Pelodiscus sinensis: one gene and its partner. The protein of the gene in region 2 purifies or fractionates together with the protein of the main gene of each other region. This does not show direct contact. Links are inferred from orthologs where the notes say so. Each region holds a gene or a part of one and is shown on either strand. Other genes may lie near its edges.

Region 1 (10,794 bases), on a different chromosome or scaffold from region 2:
GCATCCCCCACATTAGGGATGTAAAATCCTATTTAACTGGTTAACCAGTTTAACCAGTTAACCAATTAAAGGGGGAGCACTCCAGGTTAGGGTGTGTTTGTGGGGGGCTCTGCCAGCAGCACCGCAGATCGGGGCCTGCTCCTGGGGTTAACCGTTATCTGGTAAGCATTAGCCACTAAGGTAACCAGTTAACCCGTTTACATTCCTACCCCACATCCCAACCCCCCTGCCCTGAGCGCCCTGCACTCCACCCACCCCCAAGGGGAAGGCGTTGCAATTTGACAGTACCTGTAAGAAATGTAAGTTACTTTCCCCCCCGACAGGGCTAACGTGGCCTGTGGCTGCATAAAGAGAGGAGCGGTGAGTCGGGGTGGAGGCGAATTCCCCTCTGCCAGTGGCAAGACTAGATACTGATCCCCTAACAGCCGACACTGCCTCCAGTGCGGGTGCCCCATTTGTAAAAGCGTGTTTAAAACTTGAATGATCCGTGGGCTGGGAAAAAGGCCTGGGTGTGAGAGACATTCAAGCCGGACACACTGAAATGAGAAAAATGGCATCCAACGCGAGGGTTCACTGGCGAGGGCAACCAGGCATTGGAACAAACTCGCCAGGGAAAAGGTGGATTCTCCGTCTCTTCGAGCCAGGCCTTTCCGGAAAGTGCGTTTGCCAAACCCAAATTAACACCCCCAGCACAGGCAGGGTGAAATCCTCTGGCCTGTGCTATGCAGAAGGGCCAATGAATCCATGGAAGGGCAGCCATGCTGTTGTGGCTCGCTTCCCAGCATGGTTGTGAGGTTCTGGCTAGCCCGGAGGATTGCTATTCTCCACAGCTTTGCCCTTGCAGCCCTCAGCCTCTTCATGCCCGAGGAAACGCCTTTGCCGCAGCGTGCTGATTCCCCACAGGTTGTTTACTCTTCTGAGAGCTGGTTTTCAAACTGTGCTTCTCAGTTCACAAGCGCTTGAGGACCACCAGCCCTGGGCACGTCTCACGCATTTTCTGTGCAAAGGGCTCAAAGCTGCTTAAAACGTTCACTCAGCTTCCCAAGCGTATCACTGGGGAGCACCACGTAGGGATTGTAGGGTTCCAGCTCCCCTGCGCAAAGCATCTAACAATGCCCCAGAGATCACTGTGATCAAAATGATTAAAGGTCTCGAAAACAGGAGCTATGGGGGAAGACTGAAAGAATTGGGCTTGTTTAGTTTGGAAAAGAAAAGACTGAGAGGGGACATGGCAGCGGTTTTCAAGTATCTAAACATTTGTTACAAAGAGGAGGGAGAAAAATGTTCTCCTTGGCCTCTGAGGATAGGACAAGAAGCGATGGGCTTAAATTGCAGCCAGGGACGTTTAGGTTGGACCTTAGGAAAAACTTCCTACCTGTCAGGGTGGCTAAACACTGGAATGAATTGCCCAGGGAGGTTGTGGAATCTTCATCATTGGAGACATTTAAGAGCAGGTTCAACAGCCTCCTGTCAGGGATGATCTAGACAGTGCTTGGTCCTCACATGAGGGCAGGGGACTAGACTTAATGACCTTGCGAGGTCCCTTCCAGTTCTAGTATTTTATGATTCTATAAGTCACTGTGCCACTGAAATCAGCCACGCCTGGAGCAGAACAGCAGCCACCTGGCATGCAGCAGAAGAGTGGATGGCATTACAGGGGACACTTTCGAAAATGTCTACTCTGCAAATAGCACCACAGGACTGGTGATGTCCTTTGTGCAGCGAGGATCCTTCTGAAAGACATGGAGAGCTGGTCTCCCATGTTGGAGCCAGAGCCCTTTAATACAGGTCTCTCTCGGTTTCAGGGGTGCTCACACTCTTCTCAAGGCTGGGAAAACAACAATTACCACACAAAGGATCACCACAGAGCGTGGGGCTGACCAGATCTGAGTGAGGACAGAGTGTGGTCTGGCAATTGGGATATGGACACCAATTCCTAGAGCCTTCTAAATCCGTGGATATCTGCTCTCTATCCACGGGTATCCACATCCGCAGATGTGAATGCAGCTATCCGTGCATCATTTTTCATAGAATCACAGAATCACACTAGGACTGGAAGGGACCACGAGAGGTCATCGAGTCCAGTCTCCTGCTCTCATGGCAGGACCAATTTTTGCAGACCAGATACCAGTTTTGTATCTGCACAGGGCTCCACCATACTGTCCATTGCCTGGGAGATTTGTAGGCTACCAGCACTTTAAGGTACTCTGATACCAGGGTGAGGACTGAGGAGGTCCATATAAGAACCTGTCTTGCCTAGTTATGGGAAGAGCTGCCATGCTTTCCGTTCAGTCATGCCAGAAATGGATGCTGCTTCATCATAAGAACATAAGAATGACCACACTGGGTCAGACCAAGGGTCCATCTAGCCCAGTGTCCTGTCTGCTGACAGTGGCCAATGCCAGATGTCCCAGAGGGAGGGAACAGAACAGGGAATCACCAAGAGATCTCTCCCCTGTCACCCATTTCTAGACTCTGACAAACAGAGGCCAGGGACACCCTCCCTGCCCGTCCTGGCTAATAACCATTGATGGACCTAACCTCCAGAATGTATCTAGTTCTTTTTTGGACCCTGTGAAAGTCCTGGTCTGCACAATTTCCTGTTTGCTTTTTTGATGGCTGCTGCACACTGTGTGGATGATTTCAGAGAACTATCCACAATGACTCCAAGATCTCTCTCCTGAGTAGTTGTAGCTAAATTAGTCCCATCACTTTATATGTGTAGTTGGGATTATTTTTCCAATGTGCATTGGTATCGATCAACATTAAAATTCATTTGCCATTTTATTGCCCAATCATAGTTTTGAGAGATCCTTTTAAAGCTCTTGCCAGTCTTCTTTGGTCTTAAGTATCTTGAGCAGTTTAGTAACCTTTGCAAATTTTGCCACCTCACTGTTTACCCATTTCACCAGACCATTTAAATAGGTTAAATAGGATTGGTCCCTGTACGGACCCTTGGGGGCACCACTAGTTACCTCTCTCCATCAGAAGTGAGGCCCAGGGAACCGGGAAGTTGACTGCAGCTGCACACCCAAGCTGCTGCCTGCACAGAGTTGCACACCCAGTTCACAGAGCTGCACGCTCTGTGACATCATAGATTTATATTTACAGCACTGTGATTTCACATGGCATGCCCTTGAATAATTAGTATGCTCAGAACCTGGCTTTTCACACACACTTTGTTCTGGCATCGCCTTTCACACTCATCAAGCAATTACCTGGATTTTCACACACACACTCCAGTGTCCTGCACAGATTTTCACACCCACTAGCCTCAGAGCCCACTTTTCAAACTCACTAGTGTCCTGAAGATTTTGACGCCCACTAGCTCCAGACATCTTTGTTCACATTCACCAGAGCCTTGCACAGATTTTCATGCCTACTAGTCCTGGTCCCCTTCTCTCACACACACACTTGCAAAGATTTTCACAGTCAGTAGGGGCTGCAGTGTTCTGGCCCCCAGTGGCTCTATGGCTGTGTCCCGACTCCATGCCTCCGTCGACGGAGGCATGTAGATTAGCCAGCTCGGAAGAGGGAAATGAAGCCGCGATTAAAATAATCGCGGCTTCATTTAAATTTAAATGGCTGCCCCGATCTGCCGATCAGCTGTTTGTCGGCAGATCGGGAGAGTCTGGACGCGATGCCCCGACAAAGAAGCCTTTCTTCATCGACACAGGTAAACCTGGTTTCACGAGGCTTACCTGTGTCGATGAAGAAAGGCTTCTTTGTCGGGGCATCGCGTCCAGACTCTCCCGATCTGCCGACAAACAGCTGATCGGCAGATCGGGGCAGCCATTTAAATTTAAATGAAGCCGCGATTATTTTAATCGCGGCTTCATTTCCCTCTTCCGAGCTGGCTAATCTACATGCCTCCGTCGACGGAGGCATGGAGTCTGGACACAGCCTATGTGCTGCTGCCCCCGCTAGGCAGAAGCAGCAAGCACCAGGAAGTGCCATCTGTATGCTTGCCTCACCTGAAGGCTCTGCCCCCATAGCTTCTATTAGCAGAAATCCACAACCAATGGGAGCTGCGGGGAGGAGGAGGGGGGGTTGCTGGCAAGCACAGGGCAGCGCATAGAGCCACCTGCTCCCTCCCCTCCCCAGGGCCTGCTCCACTAGAGGGGAGCTGCCGCAGGGAAGTACCTTGCATCCCAACTCCCTACCTGGCCTGGCCCTGAGCCCTCTACTGCATCCTAACTCCCACCCAGACCCCACATCCCTATCCCCGGAGCCCCTCTCCTGCATCCCAACTCCCACCCCAGCTCTGAGCTCCTCCTGCACCCTAATTCCCATCCCAGACCCCACACCCCACCTCCTATCTTAATCCCCCTCCTGCACCCTAACTCCACCCAGACCCTGAACCTCACCTCCTGCCCCGGCACAAATTCCTGTCCACCCCCACCTCCACCTTCCACACCTAACTCTCGCCCAGACCCTGCATTCCCATCCCCACCTCTTGAGCTGAGTCTGTTCCTGCACTCCAAAACCCCTTGGCCCCAGCCTGGAGCCTCCTTCTGCATCCCAAATCCCTTATCCCCAGCTCTACCACAGAGCCCTCACCCCCTCCTGTGCCCCAACCCTCTGCCCCCACTTGGAGCCCCCTCTTGCACTATGAACCCTTCATTTTTGGCCCCACCTAGAACCTAGGGAGACCCACAAAATCTAATAGCCCTGGGCCCCAAAAGAGTTAATCCATCCCTGTCTCCAGACTTCTCTTTTCACACCCACCAGAACCCTGCACAGATTTGCACACCCACTGGTTCCAGGCATCTCATTTCACACCCACCAGAGCTCTGCACAGATTTGCATACCCACTGGTTCCAGACTTCTCCTTTCACACCCACTAGAGCCCTGCACAGATTTGCACACCCACTGGTTCCAGGCATCTCCTTTCACCCGCACCAGAGCCCTGTACAGATTTACACACCTACTGGTTCCAGACTTCTCCTTTCACACCCACCAGAGCCCTGCACAGATTTGCACACCCACTGGTTCCAGGCATCTCCTTTCACACTCACCAGAGCCCTGCACAGATTTGCACACCCACTGGTTCCAGACTTCTCCTTTCACACCCACCAGAGCCCTGCACAGATTTGCACACCCACTGGTTCCAGACTTCTCCTTTCACACCCACCAGAGCCCTGCACAGATTTGCACACCCACTGGTTCCAGACTTCTCTTTTCACACTCACTAGAGCCCTGCACAGATTTACACACCTACTGGTTCCAGACTTCTCCTTTCACACTCACCAGAGCCCTGCACAGATTTGCACACCCACTGGTTCCAGACTTCTCCTTTCACACTCACCAGAGCCCTGCACAGATTTGCACACCCACTGGTTCCAGACTTCTCCTTTCACCCCCACCAGAGCCCTGCACAGATTTGCACACCCACTGGTTCCAGACTTCTCCTTTCACCCCCACCAGAGCCCTGCACAGATTTGCACACCCACTGGTTCCAGACTTCTCCTTTCACACTCACCAGAGCCCTGCACAGATTTGCACACCCACTGGTTCCAGACTTCTCCTTTCACACTCACCAGAGCCCTGCACAGATTTGCACACCCACTGGTTCCAGACTTCTCCTTTCACACCCACCAGAGCTCTGCACAGATTTGCACACCCACTGGTTCCAGACTTCTCCTTTCACACCCACCAGAGCCCTGCACAGATTTGCACACCCACTGGTTCCAGACTTCTCCTTTCACACTCACCAGAGCCCTGCACAGATTTGCACACCCACTGGTTCCAGACTTCTCCTTTCACACCCACCAGAGCCCTGCACAGATTTGCACACCCACTGGTTCCAGACTTCTCCTTTCACACCCACCAGAGCCCTGCACAGATTTACACACCCACTGGTTCCAGACTTCTCCTTTCACACCCACCAGAGCCCTGCACAGATTTGCACATCCACCAGCCCCTGGCCCCTCTTTTCACACTCAGTGCAAACATTTTCACACTCACCATCTCTGCTCCTCTCTGCCCCCCTATCTGGAACTCGCGGGGTCGCTATGGTAACCAGCATCACAGCAAAAATTCCACCCCGCCCACACTCCGCAAGGCGCGCTGGGAAACGTAGTTGCCGGGAGGTCTTTGGGAACCACATTTCCCAGGGGGCCTGGTGGCGAGAGTTCCCTCACCTCTCGCGGGATCCACTCGGGCCTCACCGCCCATGGGCTCCTGGGAGTTGTAGTTCCTCCCCTCACGTGATCGGCGCGGGCTGACGCGCGCCCGGCCTGCAGCCAATAGGGAGGAGGGAATGGGGGGCGGCGCAGCTGTTTGAATCGGTGAGGGCCGCGGGGCCGCGCGGGGGGAAGCTGCGGGACTGGGCCGCGCCGCTTCGGGCAATACGGTAAAATACGGTAACGGGGGCCGGGGCCGCGCCGCGGGGGCGCTCGCCCCACTGGGGGAGGAGGAGCTCGGGATGGGGGAGCGGGGGCGGGGTGAGGGGGGGAACTGCGGGATGGGGGAGTTGGGGGGCAGTGATTTGGGGGGCGGGGTGATGGGGGGGAAGTGCGGGATGGGGGACTTGGAGGGGTGGTGATTTGGGGGGCGGGGTGATGACGGGGGAACTGCGGGATGGGGGAGTTGGGGGGGCGGTGATTTGGGGGGCGGGGTGATGATGGGGGAACTGCGGGATGGGGGAGTTGGGGGGGCGGTGATTTGGGGGGCAGGGTGATGATGGGGGAACTGCGGGATGGGGGAGTTGGGGGGGTGGTGATTTGGGGGGCGGGGTGATGGGGGGGAAGTGCGGGATGGGGGACTTGGAGGGGTGGTGATTTGGGGGGCGGGGTGATGACGGGGGAACTGCGGGATGGGGGAGTTGGGGGGGCGGTGATTTGGGGGGCGGGGTGATGACGGGGGAACTGCGGGATGGGGGAGTTGGGGGGGCGATGATTTGGGGGGCGGGGTGATGGGGGGAAGTGTGGGATGGGGGAGTTGGGGGGCGGTGATTTGGGGGGCGGGGTGATGGGGGGAAGTGCGGGATGGGGGACTTGGAGGGGTGGTGATTTGGGGGGCGGGGTGATGACGGGGGAACTGCGGGATGGGGGAGTTGGGGGGGCGGTGATTTGGGAGGTGGGGTGATGGGGGGGAAGTGTGGAATGGGGGACTTGGAGGGGTGGTGATTTGGGGGGCGGGGTGATGACGGGGGAACTGCGGGATGGGGCAGTTGGGGGGGCGGTGATTTGGGGGGCGGAGTGATGGGGGGAAGTGTGGGATGGGGGAGTTGGGGGGTGGTGATTTGGGGGGCGGGGTGATGGGGGGAAGTGTGGGATGGGGGAGTTGGGGGGCGGTGATTTGGGGGCGGGGTGATGAGGGGGAACTGTGGGATGAGGGAGTTGCGGGGCGGTGATTTGGGGGGCGGGGTGATGGGGGGGAAGTGCGGGATGGGGGACTTGGAGGGGTGGTGATTTGGGGGGCGGGGTGATGACGGGGGAACTGCGGGATGGGGGAGTTGGGGGGGCGGTGATTTGGGAGGTGGGGTGATGGGGGGGAAGTGTGGAATGGTGGAGTTGGGGGGGTGGTGATTTGGGGGGCGGGGTGATGGGGGGGAAGTGCGGGATGGAGGAGTTGGGGGGGCGGTGATTTGGGAGGTGGGGTGATGGGGGGGAAGTGTGGAATGGTGGAGTTGGGGGGGGGGTGATTTGGGGGGCGGGGTGATGGGGGGGAAGTGCGGGATGGAGGAGTTGGGGGGGTGGTGATTTGGGGGGCAGGGTGATGATGGGGGAACTGCGGGATGGGGAGTTGGGGGCAGGGTGATGGGGGAACTGCGGGATGGGGGAGTTGGGGGGGCGGTGATTTGGGAGGTGGGGTGATGGGGGGGAAGTGTGGAATGGGGGAGTTGGGGGGTGGTGATTTGGGGGGCGGGGTGATGGGGGGGAAGTGCGGGATGGAGGAGTTGGGGGGGTGGTGATTTGGGGGGCAGGGTGATGATGGGGGAACTGCGGGATGGGGAGTTGGGGGCAGGGTGATGGGGGAACTGCGGGATGGCGGAGTTGGGGGGCGGTGATTTGGGGGGCGGGGTGATGATGGGGGAACTGCGGGATGGGGAGTTGGGGGCAGGGTGATGGGGGAACTGCGGGATGGCGGAGTTGGGGGGTGGTGATTTGGGGGCGGGGTGATGACGGAACTGCGGGATGGGGGAGTTGGGGGGCGGTGATTTGGGGGGCGGGGTATGACGGGGGAACTGCGGGATGGGGGAGTTGGGGGGCGGTGATTTGGGGGGCGGGGTATGACGGGGGAACTGCGGGATGGGGGAGTTGGGGGGCGGTGATTTGGGGGGCGGGGTGATGATGGGGGAACTGTGGGATGAGGGAGTTGCGGGGCGGTGATTTGTGGGGCGGGGTGATGACGGGGGAACTGTGGGATGAGGGAGTTGGGGGGGTGGTTTGGGGTGGCTAAGAGGATGGTGTTGAGAGGGGGCTAAAGGGGTGCGTGGCCTTCGGGGGTTACCTGTCCCCAGACAGCTGGGTCCCTGCAGCCTGTCTCTTCTGTGCTCCTCTCAGGACCGTGCTTGAGGAGCTGAACTGCTCCCGTCCTGACCTGCAGGCGCCCCCAAGACACTGCAGTCCCTGGTGTCAACCTTGGACAAGTGCCTGCCCTTCCACCCATGGCTGGCAGGGAAACTTCCTGCTGTCATTTCCCTGCCAGGCAGCTATGCCCTGCCAGCAAGGGGCAATCAGTTTTACTCCTACCCGCCTGCCTGGCAGCCAACTGCGTTTTCAGGGGATTTCCCCCCCAACATCTGCAAAAGCTGGCTGAAAATACCCCGTTCTGTGGTCTGTGCCTAGCCGGATAAAGCTTGTGGAGTGCGCTTGGCAGAGACGTGGCAGAGGCTGCGGGTTGGCTTGGTCTGTGTCATTCTGCAAGTGTGGACTGCGAGGAGGGTGTGAGTGTTGTTGAGCATGAGTTTGCTGGAGTAGCTCCATGCACAGGAATGGACAGATGTTATCCACACTTCTCCTGTGCAACTTCATGGTCTGAGAGGCTCCTCTGTTTTCTTGAATGGCTCCAATTTAATCTGTCCAGTAAGCTGTCCTTGCTTTGAGCCACTCCACCACGGAAGGTGCACCTGTCGTGCACCTGACACTCCTGTACTTTTGGCCCCTCACCCTTTCTCCAGATTGTGAGCATGTCTGAGATGCCAAACAGTCCCTGAGAAGGGGACTGTTGTCTCTCTTCCTAGCATGATTTTAATTACTTGGCAAACTACTTGCCTGTACCTCTGTCAGGAAACACCTCAAGCATTATTTTGAGTGATTCTCCCCCTCTCCCACACACTACATTTGTTGGTAGCTCCTGCCAAGATCTGTGGACTTGAGCCCAGTTTGGGGGAGCGGGGTGCTCTGTGGGGCAGCATAGCCTAACTTCAAAAGACAGATATTTTAGGGTGACCTCTCTGGTAGCACTCTCTGTTTTGCCAGCCTCCTGTTAGATCCTTTCCAAGCTCACTTCCTCTCTTGACTTGTGCCTGTTGTGCCTCTGATCCAAGAGATACACTACAGATCTGGAATCCGCAGAAGACATTTCTGCTCCTTGTTGGTGCATGTTAGTGTCTCCTGTTGGAGGAGGTGGGCTTGCTCTCCTTTTATGTTGTGGGAAAAGTGTGCATATTTAAAGGAGCTGAGGCATTCTGGCAAGGAGTTTTTGAGAGGTGTCCATATAATATTAATACCCCGCCTTTACTTGTGCCCGCCAGAGAGACTCTACTGTTTCATATCAAGTCCTAAAATCTTGTCTCCTCTCCCTACCCTCTGTTTTCAAGTGTCTGCTTCAGCATATACATGTGTTGGAGCTGATTGACTGGGGTTATGTAAACCGGTGTGAGTCTCCTTCCATGCAGGCTGGATTATTGGGCAGGTATGTGCAAGATCCTTGCTGTAGTTGGGTGTCTTCCAAGCAGCTTAAGATCTGTCATAGGATTGTGTGAGCTAGTCAAGAAACATGAATTCATTTTCCAACACTTCAGATATGTAATTGCCACCCGAGTCCAGGCCTGCCCAACCCCACAACATCTACACTGCTGTTTTTAGCATGCTAGCTAGGGCTGTGCCAGCACGAGTCTGTGTGCCTGAGCTGAGACCCACACACCCAAGCTGCAAGGTAGGCATACCCCCGTGACTCAGTTTCCCCAATTGTAAAATGGGGATAAGGTGCTTCAGTGGTGGGTGGAGATCTAGCACGCTCAGGTTCTTAACTGGCTCTGAACCCCTCACAATTTCAATAACAAAAAAAAAAAAACCTCTGTGAGTAGGGCAGTGTTTCATCCCCATCGTACAGACAGCAGAACAGAGACATAAAGGGACTTGCCCTGAGTCACATAGGAAGTCTGTGGTGGAGTGAGGAGCTGAACCCAGCTCTCTCGAGTGCCAAGCAGTGACCTAACCACTGGACCTTCCTTGCCAGATGGATTACAAAGCCCTGAAACAAAATATTGCTGTCCTCCCACCTTTTGTCTTGTCTCTTAAGGCCTTTGGAGCAGGGACTGTCTCAGCTGGAAGGTGTAATTCCTAGCTAGATGCATGTGCGCTAACTCTGATCAAGCCATCATACTATAAACACCATGTGTTTGCATCCACACGGGCAGCAGCTTGTGTTAATTGTCCGAGCACACACCTCAGACAGGATCATACTCAGTTGGCTAGCCTGAGCCACTGCCTGCACCATTGTGGCCACACTGCTGTTTTAGCATACTTGCTTGATTGGCGTTGCTACCCAGACGAAAGACTAAACTCCCCAGAGACCGTGCAGACGTAGTCTTCCTGTGTGTGCTTCCAGCTCCTCTGTCAA
Region 2 (10,237 bases):
CCTGAAATGCAACCCCCACCTTTTCCATTATTTTTAATGGGAAAATTGACCCTGCATAGCATGCTTTTGCTTAGCACAAACATTTTCAGAAATGCATCTATTGTGTTAAATGAGGAATTACTGTATTAAAAACTTGAGTTTTACTATTATTGTCCATTGGTTTTTCCTAGGTTGACGGGACCCTCAGATAACTGGAACTTTTAGATAACCGGAACGCCCTAATCCCTGAGTGACGGATAACACAGAATTTACTGTACTAGAAAACTGCTATCAAGTCCCCTTTCAGTCTTCTCTTTTCCAATCTAAACAAGCCCAATTCTTTCAGTCTTCCCTTATAGTTCATGTTTTCTAGACCTTTAATCATTTTTGTTGCTCTTCATTGCACCTTCTCCAATTTCTCCACATCTTTCTTGAAACGTGTTGCCCAGAACTGAACACAGTACTCAATTGAGGCCTAATCAGCGCAGAGTAGAGCAGAAGAATGACTTCTTGTGTCTTGCTCACAACACTCCTGTTAATGCAGCCCAGAATCATGTTTGCTTTTTTTGCAACTGTCATACTGTTGACTCCTATTTAGCTTGTGGTCCATGGTGACTCTCTAGATCTTTCTGCAGTACTCCTTTCTGGACAGTCACTTCTCATTCTGTATGTGTGAAACAGATTGTTCCTTCCTAAGTGGATTTGTCCTTATTCAACTTCATCCTATTTACCTTGGACCATTTCTCCAGTTTGTCCAGATCTTTTTGAATTTTGACCCAATCCTCTAAAGCACTTGCAACTCCTCCCAACTTGGTATCATCTGCAAACTTAATAAGCACACTCGCTATGCCAATATCTAAATCGTTGATGAAGATATTGAACATAACAGGTTCCAAAACAGTCCCGAGGAACCCCACTTGTTCTGCCCTTCCAGCATGATTGTGAACTGTTAATAACTACTCTCTAAGTCAGGGGTGTCCAAACTTTTTTCAAAGCGGGCCAGATTTGAAGAAGTGAACATGCGTCAGGGCCGTCCCCGCACTCTCAGCCCCAAGGCGGAGGGCCCGCAGGGTCGGAGGCGGGCGGAGAGCGCAGGGCACGCTGGCCTCATGGCGGCCAGGGGGCAGGGCGAACCTGCAGCCGAGCGGGGGAGCGGGGCTGCGGACGTGCCCTACAGGGCAGGCTCTAGGACCGCGGAGGCCATGGGCGGCGGCGTGGCCGGAAGCGGCGCGCTGGGCTCGCCAGTTCAAAAGAGCGCCGGGGAGCCAGGAGAGGGGGAGGAAGCGGGGGCTGTATTAAATCGGAACACGGGCCGCAATTGGCCCGCAGGCCGGACTTCGGACATGCCTGCTCTAAGTGGTTATCTAGCCAATTACACACCCACCTTATAGTAGCCCCATCAAGGTTGCATTTCTCTAGCTTATTGATAAAAATGTCATGCGAGACTGTATCAAAAGCTCTACTAAAGTCTAGGTATACCACATCCACTGCTTCTCCTGTGTCCACAAGACTTGATATCCTATGAGATTGCTTTGACATGATTTATTCTTTAAAAATCCATGCTGGCTGTTACTGGTCACCTTATTTTCTTCCAGATGTTTGCAGATGATTTCCTTAATTACCTGCTCCATTATCTTCCGAGGCACAGAAGTTAAACTAACTGGTCTGTAGTTTCCTGGGTTGTTGTTTCCCTTTTTATAGATGGGCACTAGATTTGCCCTTTTCCAGTCTTCTGGAATCTCTCCTGACTTCCATGAATTTTCAAAGATGATAGCTAAAGGCTCAGACACCTCCTCTATCAGCTCCTTGAGTATTCTAGGCCCTGGTGACTTGAAGACATCTAACTTTTCTAAGTAATTTTTAACTTTAACTTCTAAACCTACCCCATTTCCACTAGCATTTTCCATGTTAGGCATCCCTTCATCATCAAACTTCTTGGTGAAAAGTTTCCTCTTGTTGTTTCTCCTTCCTCACTGAGCAATGGGCTTATACTGTCCTTGGTCTTCCTTTTGCTCCTAATACATTTATAGAATATCTTCTTGTTTCCCTTTATGCCCCTAGCTAGTTTTAGCTCATTTTGTGCCTTTGCCTTTCTAATCTTGCCCCTGCATACGTGTGTTGTTGCTTATATTCATCCTTTGTCATTTGATCTAGTTTGCACTTTTTATGACTCCTTTTTGATTTTGCAAGATTGCTGTAACCAAAATGGTATTCCATGGTGGGGCAGTTTTGTTAACTGAGCTTGCGTACCTAGAATTTGTGGGGTGTGCCAACTGAACCATAGCAGTGCTTTGACTAGGTGCAAAGGGAGTACATTGCTCTGACAATCTACATTGTGTGCAAAAGCTTCAGAGGGGTAGCTGAGTTAGTCTATAGCTGGAAAAACTTAAACAACAAAGAGTCTAGCAGCACCTTAGAGAATAACAGAACATGTAGATGGTACCATGAGCTTTCGTGGGCACAGCCCACTTCTCTCCTCTTGCCCCGCACCAGATGGCTTGTAAAGTGATCACATACCACGTCTTATGGCACCTCAGAGACACAGTAAAAGCTTCAGGGGGAAGTCAGTTAGTCTGTGAGAGGAAAAACCCACTTCTTGCGCCTTAGCTTTTTCCCTCCAAGTATTACTACAGTGATAGGCATGTAAAGCGATGTGGACAAAAGCCAGCGAAATCTGGCAACCCTGCACATGGGCTATAGCAAACTATGTTTCACAGGCCACAGGTTACCCACCACTTTTACAGAAGTTTAGTGATTAATCATTGTAAGAGTGCTTTCTGTGAGCACTGCCTCTCTGATCTCACACACACAACTATGTGATGTTGCTCAAAACCATTTACCAGCTGTGATGGCTGGAGCCATAAACCTCATTGACCATACTTACAAAGGACGATATCCTTCATTAACTCTAGGTCAGCTAGATGGTCTTGAATTGTTTTCTACACAAAATCTAGGTCTCAGTACGAGTATTAGTTTTAGGTGTTAGATTTAGCTGTCTTCTGTTTGATTGTATTGGATATTTCCCCATGTCTGCTGGGTTTAGCAGCCCCTTGGGTTATCTGAAGGCCTTGTCTAGAATGTGTGTGAAACTTTGTGGTCTGCTCATACAGCGCCTATGTGTATGACAAAGGGCATTCTTTGGATCTTGGATTGTGCTGTCCTTTCCTGCAGAGGTTCAGAAAACCCTCTGTCCTCTTGAGAGCTGAACAGTCTCCATGTAGTGCAATTTATCAAGTGTGGAGGTATTGCCTTTCACCCCTATGCAGTTATTTAAATGCTTCAGAGATTTTTAAGATCAGAAAGGACTATTCAGACTCTCCTGCTCTTATTTCTAGTTTAAATTTGTCTAACTTAATTCCTTGCTTTGTTTTCTAGCTTTAAAAACATTTGGTAAATTCTGCTCTCTGAGTAGATGCTTGTAGACCACAATCAAGTCACCACTTAATCTTCTCTGTTGATAAACTAAATAGATCTTTCTTTAGTTTCATTAAAGCAGGTTTTTCATACTGCTAATCAAAGCTGTTTTCTGAACTCCCTCCAGTTTGTCAGCATAGGCTTCTTCCCATACATTGGCTTCACTTCCACCCTACCTAGGTTATTACATGGACTTCTCCACCTCTCCTAGGCAATGGAAAAACACAGAAATTCCCATATTTAAGATTCTCAATGAGATGACCAACATATGTGGTACTATAGATATACTTCCTGTGTTCCCACTGGTCATACATGCACATTAAACAAGCAAAAAAAACCAACCCCCACTTCAGTTGTACAGAACACCAGGCATTTCCTTGGCAAGGACCCATTCATTACCTTCTCGAAGATTTCCAAAGAGGAAGGGAAGAGTCTACTTAAAGGGTCCCTTGCCCACTTGTGAGTTTCCGAACTCAAATCAAAATGATGTGGATTCATGTTTCCAAAATCTGATAAATCTAAGAGACAACTGTGACGTAGTGGGGGTACCTGGCTGGTTTCTATGCTGCTGGCTCTGGGGTAACCCCCACTGGCTGCTGTGGGTACCACGACCCAGCAAAACAGGATGAGTCACTATGCAAACCAGTATGGCCAGACACCCCCCATGGAGAGGAACAGAGGAAGGTGGAATGCTGCCCTGGCTGGGGGGCAGGGCTGGAAGAGGGTTAGTTAGTTGCTGGCTGGGAGCATGGAGGAGACAGCCTAGGGAAAGGGGCTGGAATTTAGGGGCCCAGTCTCCCCCATCTCAAGGGGGCCTGAGGCAGCCTAGCCCAGCTCTGTGACCAGATTACATCTGTGCTGTGCTGTAACCTGGAGAGGCAATAAACTTCCTCTATTCCACCGGCTGGTGGAGTCTGTTTGTGCCATTTCGGGGTGCAGGAGACAGGGGACCCCCAACGTGCCGTCACAACTACTTACTGTCCTTCATTGCCAGAAGTTCTCATTCATATTTCCCTGGAGTTAATATTTAAGACTCTCAATGAGATGACGACAAACATCCTATTTTCCATCCTCATCTGGCAACACTGTTTAACCCGCTGAGGATAGTAAAGTCCCTCACCTGATCTCTACTCAACTCCTACATTTTCCAGTGCAGTACTGAGGCAGGTTTTGAATGAGCCAGGCAATGTGCTTTTTACCCATATGGTGCCATGCTATTCTAGTCTGATTGGCCATTACCACTGATTACATTTCATCCCATTATTTTTACCTATTACTCCTCCCTCATTAAATGCTTACTTTCTAATCCATCTCAATCACCACAGGATTATGTGCTTGCAGAAGCATGTTACTCCAGCTTGATTTTATTGAGTGTATGCTAAGACATTCCTGGGCCTCTGGCTAGAATTGCCAACTTGCTACTGACACACAAATGAACACACTTGCCTCCTGTTGTGTGCGTGCTCCATCCTGCCCTCATTTTCACCAGGCTGGCTCAGAGGGTTGGGGTGTAGGAGGGGGTGAGACCTCTGGCAAAGGGTATGGGGTGGGGCCAGAAAAGAGGTGTTCCAGGTGTGGGTAATATCCTGAGGCAGGGAATTAGGATGGGGACTGTAAGGGCTCTGGCTCGGGGCACATGGGGATGAGAGGTTTGGGGCTGCAGGAAGGGGCTCCCAGCTGGGGGATGGGACTGAGGGTTCAGGGTGGGGGCTCTGAGGGTTAGGCAGGGGGTAGGGATGCCAGTGAGACGGGGATCGGAGTTGGGTGGGGCTCCTGGCTCAGGCAGGGGGTTTGGGTGGGGCGAGGTGTCTGGGGCTCCCAGCAGAGAGGTGGGGCGAGGGAATCGGAGTTGGGAGGGGCTCAGTGCTGAGGCAGGGGGTTGGGGTGAGGGCTTCTAGGCTGAGGCAGGGGGTTCGGATGTGTGTGTGGTCCTGGGCTGATGCAGGGGGTTGGGGTGGGGGGGTTGGGATACGGGGGGGGGGGCAGAGGGGGTGTTGAGATTAGGGGTTGCCAGGTGTCCGGTATTGACCCGGACAGGCCGGTATTTTTGCCTCCTGTCTGGTAAAAAAAAATTCCGAAAATACCCAACACCTAAAATGTCCGGTGTTTTCTGATCCTCTCCCCTGCCAGGAAGCGAAACTACCAAACACCTGGCAACCCTACAACACTCAGCCCCGCCCCTGCCGCCCCCCAAAGGCTTGTCTTAAAGGGGCCATGCTGCTTTATTTTTAATTTATTTTTTTGCTTAATAATTCTCGGGGGGGGGGGGCTTTTTTTTTTGCTCAACTTTGGCCTCCCCCTTTTTTTTCCTCAACAGACTCCCCTCCTGTGCGCTGCAGTATGACCGGTTAACCCGGCTGGGAGCGCCCCGGACCCGCCCAGGCTCGAGCGAGCAGCCCTCGGGCCACGTGCGGCCCCGCTGCTGGGGGCGGGGCGGGGCATCCGAGCGGCCCCGCCCCCTGAGGGGAGCGGCCCCGCCCCCTTGCCTCAGCGGGAAGCGAGGCCCCGCCCCGCCGCTCTCCCGCGCTGCCGAGGCGATGCCGCGCGCCGGGGCTGAGGAGCCGTTGGCCCGGCAGCGGGAGCAGGTGGGTGCCCGGGCCGGCCGCGCGGGGGGGCGGGGAGGGGATTCTGGGCCCCGTCCCCGGACCCCGTCGGGCCAAGTCCCCCCCTTGTCCGGGCTCCTGCTGAGGGGGGGGGGCAGAGCCCGCCGGGCGCGGGCCGGATGCGGGCTCGCGAGCGCGGCGCCGGGCGGTGGGGGGGCCGCGCGCGCGCCAGGTGTGAGGGCCCCGCCCCGGGGGCAAGGAGCGCGCGCCGCGTCTGGCGTCCCCAGCAGCCGCGCTCCTGGTCCCGGCGCCGCGCGGGCTCTGCCCCCTGCCGGGCTGCCTACGCGTCTCCCCTGCAGAGCAGCTGGCGCCCCGCATGCTCCTTGGGTTTAAAGAGCGGTCCCCGACACGGCGCCACCGGGGCCAGCCCGAGCCATTCGTGTGTCCCCGGGAGCCCCCCCCAGGTGCCCGGAAACCCCAAAGGTTGTGAGCCCTGGTTCAAAGCTACAGACTAACAGTCACCCCACTTCTAGAAACCTGCCCTGGGCGCTGCTGTTAAAATGTTCCCGGGGCTAGTTATGTGCAGTCAGCTGATTGGAGACCAGTTACAGGAGCGGCCTTCTAGCAGAGTGTTCCTTTGTATTTTTTTTTCCACTTCATTTGTGTAGGAGCGTACACCGAAAGAAAACCCCAGCATGAGCTATGTATCAGACAAAGCTGAAAAAAGAGCAGTTTTTGGAAAACAAGTGAAAGTTCTTCTCACCCCCTTATTCACGGAAGGAGAGAAATGCAACAAACGTCTGCCCCAGAAACGCTTACTGGAAAAGTTTTCTAGTAATGAGGGCTCGTCAGAAAGAGAACCAAAAGTCAAAAAATCCTGTGATGATCTCACAAGTCTGCAAATAAGAGATGAATCCTACAAGGCTTCTTCCAGTCCACAAGAAGTAATCCCCGATACGTCTTCACTTCCTAATCAGAGTAGCATGGTGTCATCCACAAACACCTCAGTTATGGTTGATCGTGATTCAGAAACCAATGGGGACACAGACCATGAAGGAAGCAATTTGGATACCTCTTATCTGGTAAGAAGTCAAACACTGACTATTTTAGTGACTATGTACTTTTTCACACCTGCCAAGGGAGATGAGAAGCAAAAGGGGCAACTTCCCTGGTGCCTGGCAAATCAAAAAGGCTTGGGGTAGGCATGGCATGCTGGGAGAGACACTGAGGCTGTCTGAGGGAAGCTAGTCCCAGCCCTGCCTCTTCTGCCTGAGGCTCCACCCATTCCAGGGGTGTAGAGGGGACCAGAGAGTCTTTTGGCCCCACTGTCCTCTTAACTTTTTCAATATATTCTTAGCCTAGCCCTCCATTTATCCTATTTGGCATTTTTCACATTTTGAAATTTTCACATTTTGAAACTTCAAGAATTGATGACCTTATCTATAAGGAACTGTTTGCTCCCTAGAAAACATCAGAGAATAAAATTCTGCTGTTTTTAAGGAAATGCAGTGATTTACTTCATTTTTTTAAGATAGAAAAATAAGATCATGTTTTTTCATAGTTATTCAAGACGAATTATTCATTTTTACATTGCCCTCTGGATTAGATTTTTGGCTTACCAATATATATAGTTTTGTTTTTATTGGTTGTAGGTAAATATTACTGTTTACTTAGCATAATTAATGTTAAAATACTTGGTAACATATGAGAAGAATGGGCCTGAAGTTCCCCACCCCTGATTTAAAGAGTCTAGTAAAGACTTGCAAAATTAAACGCTGAAGTCAATCACGTCAACCACTGTACTCCTTACTTGAGGAGTAAGGGAAGTTAAGGGGAGTGTTTCTCCTGTTGACCTCCCTCTGTGTGGTGCCAGGAAATCGATGCAATTTATATAGCTGGAGTTCCATATTTTGCATCGATTTTTCTCCTCAAGAGTAGTCCTACCCTTAGATTGCAAGCTCTTTCCAGCTAATTCTGCCTTTTGTTCTGTAGTTGTAGAGGGCTGAGCACAATGGGTTCCTAGTCCATGACGAGGGCTCCTAAGTGCATTGGAAATCCAAATAATGGTTTTCAGAATGTACCATGTTTCCCTTATTTTGTAAGGTGACAAGAAATAGCACACAGCTTATTCCATTTACAGCCAGTATTTGGCTTATGAGTATATCTGAATAATTCCACTCTTATGAAAAAGTTAGTTACCTTTAGTTCTGAAAAGGAGTCAATTAATTTTTCTCTTCACAATAGTGAAGACAGCTATTATAAGACAGTCTAACACTGGTATTTTTGTACACTCTTCAGTGTATATAATTGCCTCGTGTTGTATGTTTTCGTTTCTTGTTTATCAGTGTAATATTAATTTGATTATTGAATAATTTTAACATCCATAAAGAACTTTGATACAATCTTTAAAACTCCCTAAGTGTGTGTCTGAGCTGTATGTATAAAACACTCCTATTCTGATACAAAATCATCTTGGCTTCTGTTGCTACATGAAATTAATAAAGGTTTTCTGAAGTTAGTGTACTGACTAGCTCCCTCACATTTTTCTTTAGCTCTTCAAAGTTCAGCAGGTGTGCTTTTAAGAAATGTAATTCCTTAAATATCAGTCTTTGGGGCTAGTGTTGTTTTATTCTTTCCTGTGACTGTATATCTTTATGGGGGGCAGAGAGAATGCTTCTGCAGTACAGTAAAATGAGGACTCTACAGCTTCTTTTTGTATTAAGGGCAAAATGCAAATTGCTAGTGACTGACCACGCTAATTGAACTCTGTTAAAGTACTACGGGTTGGACCTCCTTGGTCCAGCACCTTTGGGACCTGACCTATTCTGAATGAGGGAATTTGCTGGATCAGGGGAGCTCCCCTGCCACCGGCCTCACAGGACACTGCCCCTTCCTCTGGTTGGCTCTGCTCCAGCCCTGCTGGGACAGGGGTTGGGCTCGGCTCTGGCCCTGTTTGGGGCTTTCCGGTGATGGAGCTCCCCAGCTGCCATGGCCCTATTTGTCCTGCCTGGCTGGGGCTTCCCGGGGATAGGGCTCTGTGGCTGCCCCCACCGGGGTCTGGGTACTAGAGTTGTCTGATCCAGCAACATCTGTGATCCTGCTGGACCAGGGAGCCCCAGATTTAGGAGATTCAACCTGTACTGTCTAGTGAGTGTGATGTTTTGTTCTTATTCCTCCCAATTCATATTTTTACACTTGTTTGGAAATGGAGAAATATCAAGTACTCCTTAAAGTAAAATTTATTATAAGAGATGCTTGGAACCTAAAATCTTGTCTCTTTATTTAAAGAAAAAGAGGCCATGTAACTTTATACAGAGAAGTATTGTCTCAACACTTCAGGCCTCTTAATGCACTCTGTGTACTGTCTTAAATGTTTGTGTACTGTCTTTATTACTGTTGTTTGTTTGGTGCAGGATGGATCTTCACAGCTGTCAGCCTATGAAAGAAAAAGACTGAAGAACATTATGGAAAATGCTAATTTCTTTGCTTCTCTAAAGCTGCTTGAGGTTTGTATTATGTCTGCCTAGAATAAGACCAAAATAATCATTCTAAATGTAATAGAAATTACCATACCAAAACTCACCCATAGTTCATTTAGTTATTAAATATGTCTCTAACAGTGTCCTACACCAGACACTTAAAAAAAACGCATAAAAATTTCATAACACAGCTGACTTGCAATGATATATCAGTGATCAGATTATGCTTTACACAGACTCTTTGATAGGACTTTAATTTGAATGGGATTTCATTCATTAATATTTATAAAGTACTCAAGTGCAGTCTATGCATTGGAAGAAGTAATCCAAACAAGTTAAGATTGTGACATTTTTAATGTTATCGACAGACACAGATACTCTTTTTCTCCTTTCCATATTCCTTTTCCTGTGTACTGTTCTGTTATTTCTCATAGGTCCACTCTTTGGCATTAAGAAGTAACTTTCTTCCTTGGAAGTCCACTCTTTTGCTCACTCAGAGCTGGCTCTGAGTCCCAGGTGCAGAAGCACAGAGTGATTAGAGAAAATCCCTCTAGTTGTTTCTGAGGAGCTAGCATGAGACGTGTTTAACCTCCCCAATTTCATCTGGCACATTGGACACCTACCTGTGCACACAAACTGCTCTAGAGTTCTGTATGTCTAAGGAAACGAAACAGTGAACAAGCATTCAGCTCTCTTCCAAATTGTTCTTTATCTTTGCATTTGTATGTTAATTCAAGTCCTCTACTGATGATAATTTTTGTGAGTAAAACTGCTGATAGTATAGCGCTTATATCTACCAATCTTCTTTTGAGTCTTACACTA

What was found.
Region 1: the proteins of WDR76 (region 2) and NUMA1 purify together in Homo sapiens (affinity purification with mass spectrometry; 3 studies listed by BioGRID and IntAct, with this or other methods). This does not show direct contact. The link is inferred for Pelodiscus sinensis from reciprocal best matches to the Homo sapiens genes WDR76 and NUMA1.

The regions. Positions count from the first base shown.
Region 1 is NC_134711.1:325,287,792-325,298,585, forward strand, and holds the start of NUMA1 (nuclear mitotic apparatus protein 1), read left to right. Parts: upstream 1-6,267; 5' UTR 6,268-6,355; intron 6,356-9,777; exon of another isoform or gene 9,778-9,864; intron 9,865-10,794. UniProt on the Homo sapiens protein: Microtubule (MT)-binding protein that plays a role in the formation and maintenance of the spindle poles and the alignement and the segregation of chromosomes during mitotic cell division.
Region 2 is NC_134724.1:294,796-305,032, forward strand, and holds the start of WDR76 (WD repeat-containing protein 76), read left to right. Parts: upstream 1-5,821; 5' UTR 5,822-5,930; coding exon 5,931-5,978; intron 5,979-6,604; coding exon 6,605-7,018; intron 7,019-9,349; coding exon 9,350-9,442; intron 9,443-10,237. UniProt on the Homo sapiens protein: Specifically binds 5-hydroxymethylcytosine (5hmC), suggesting that it acts as a specific reader of 5hmC.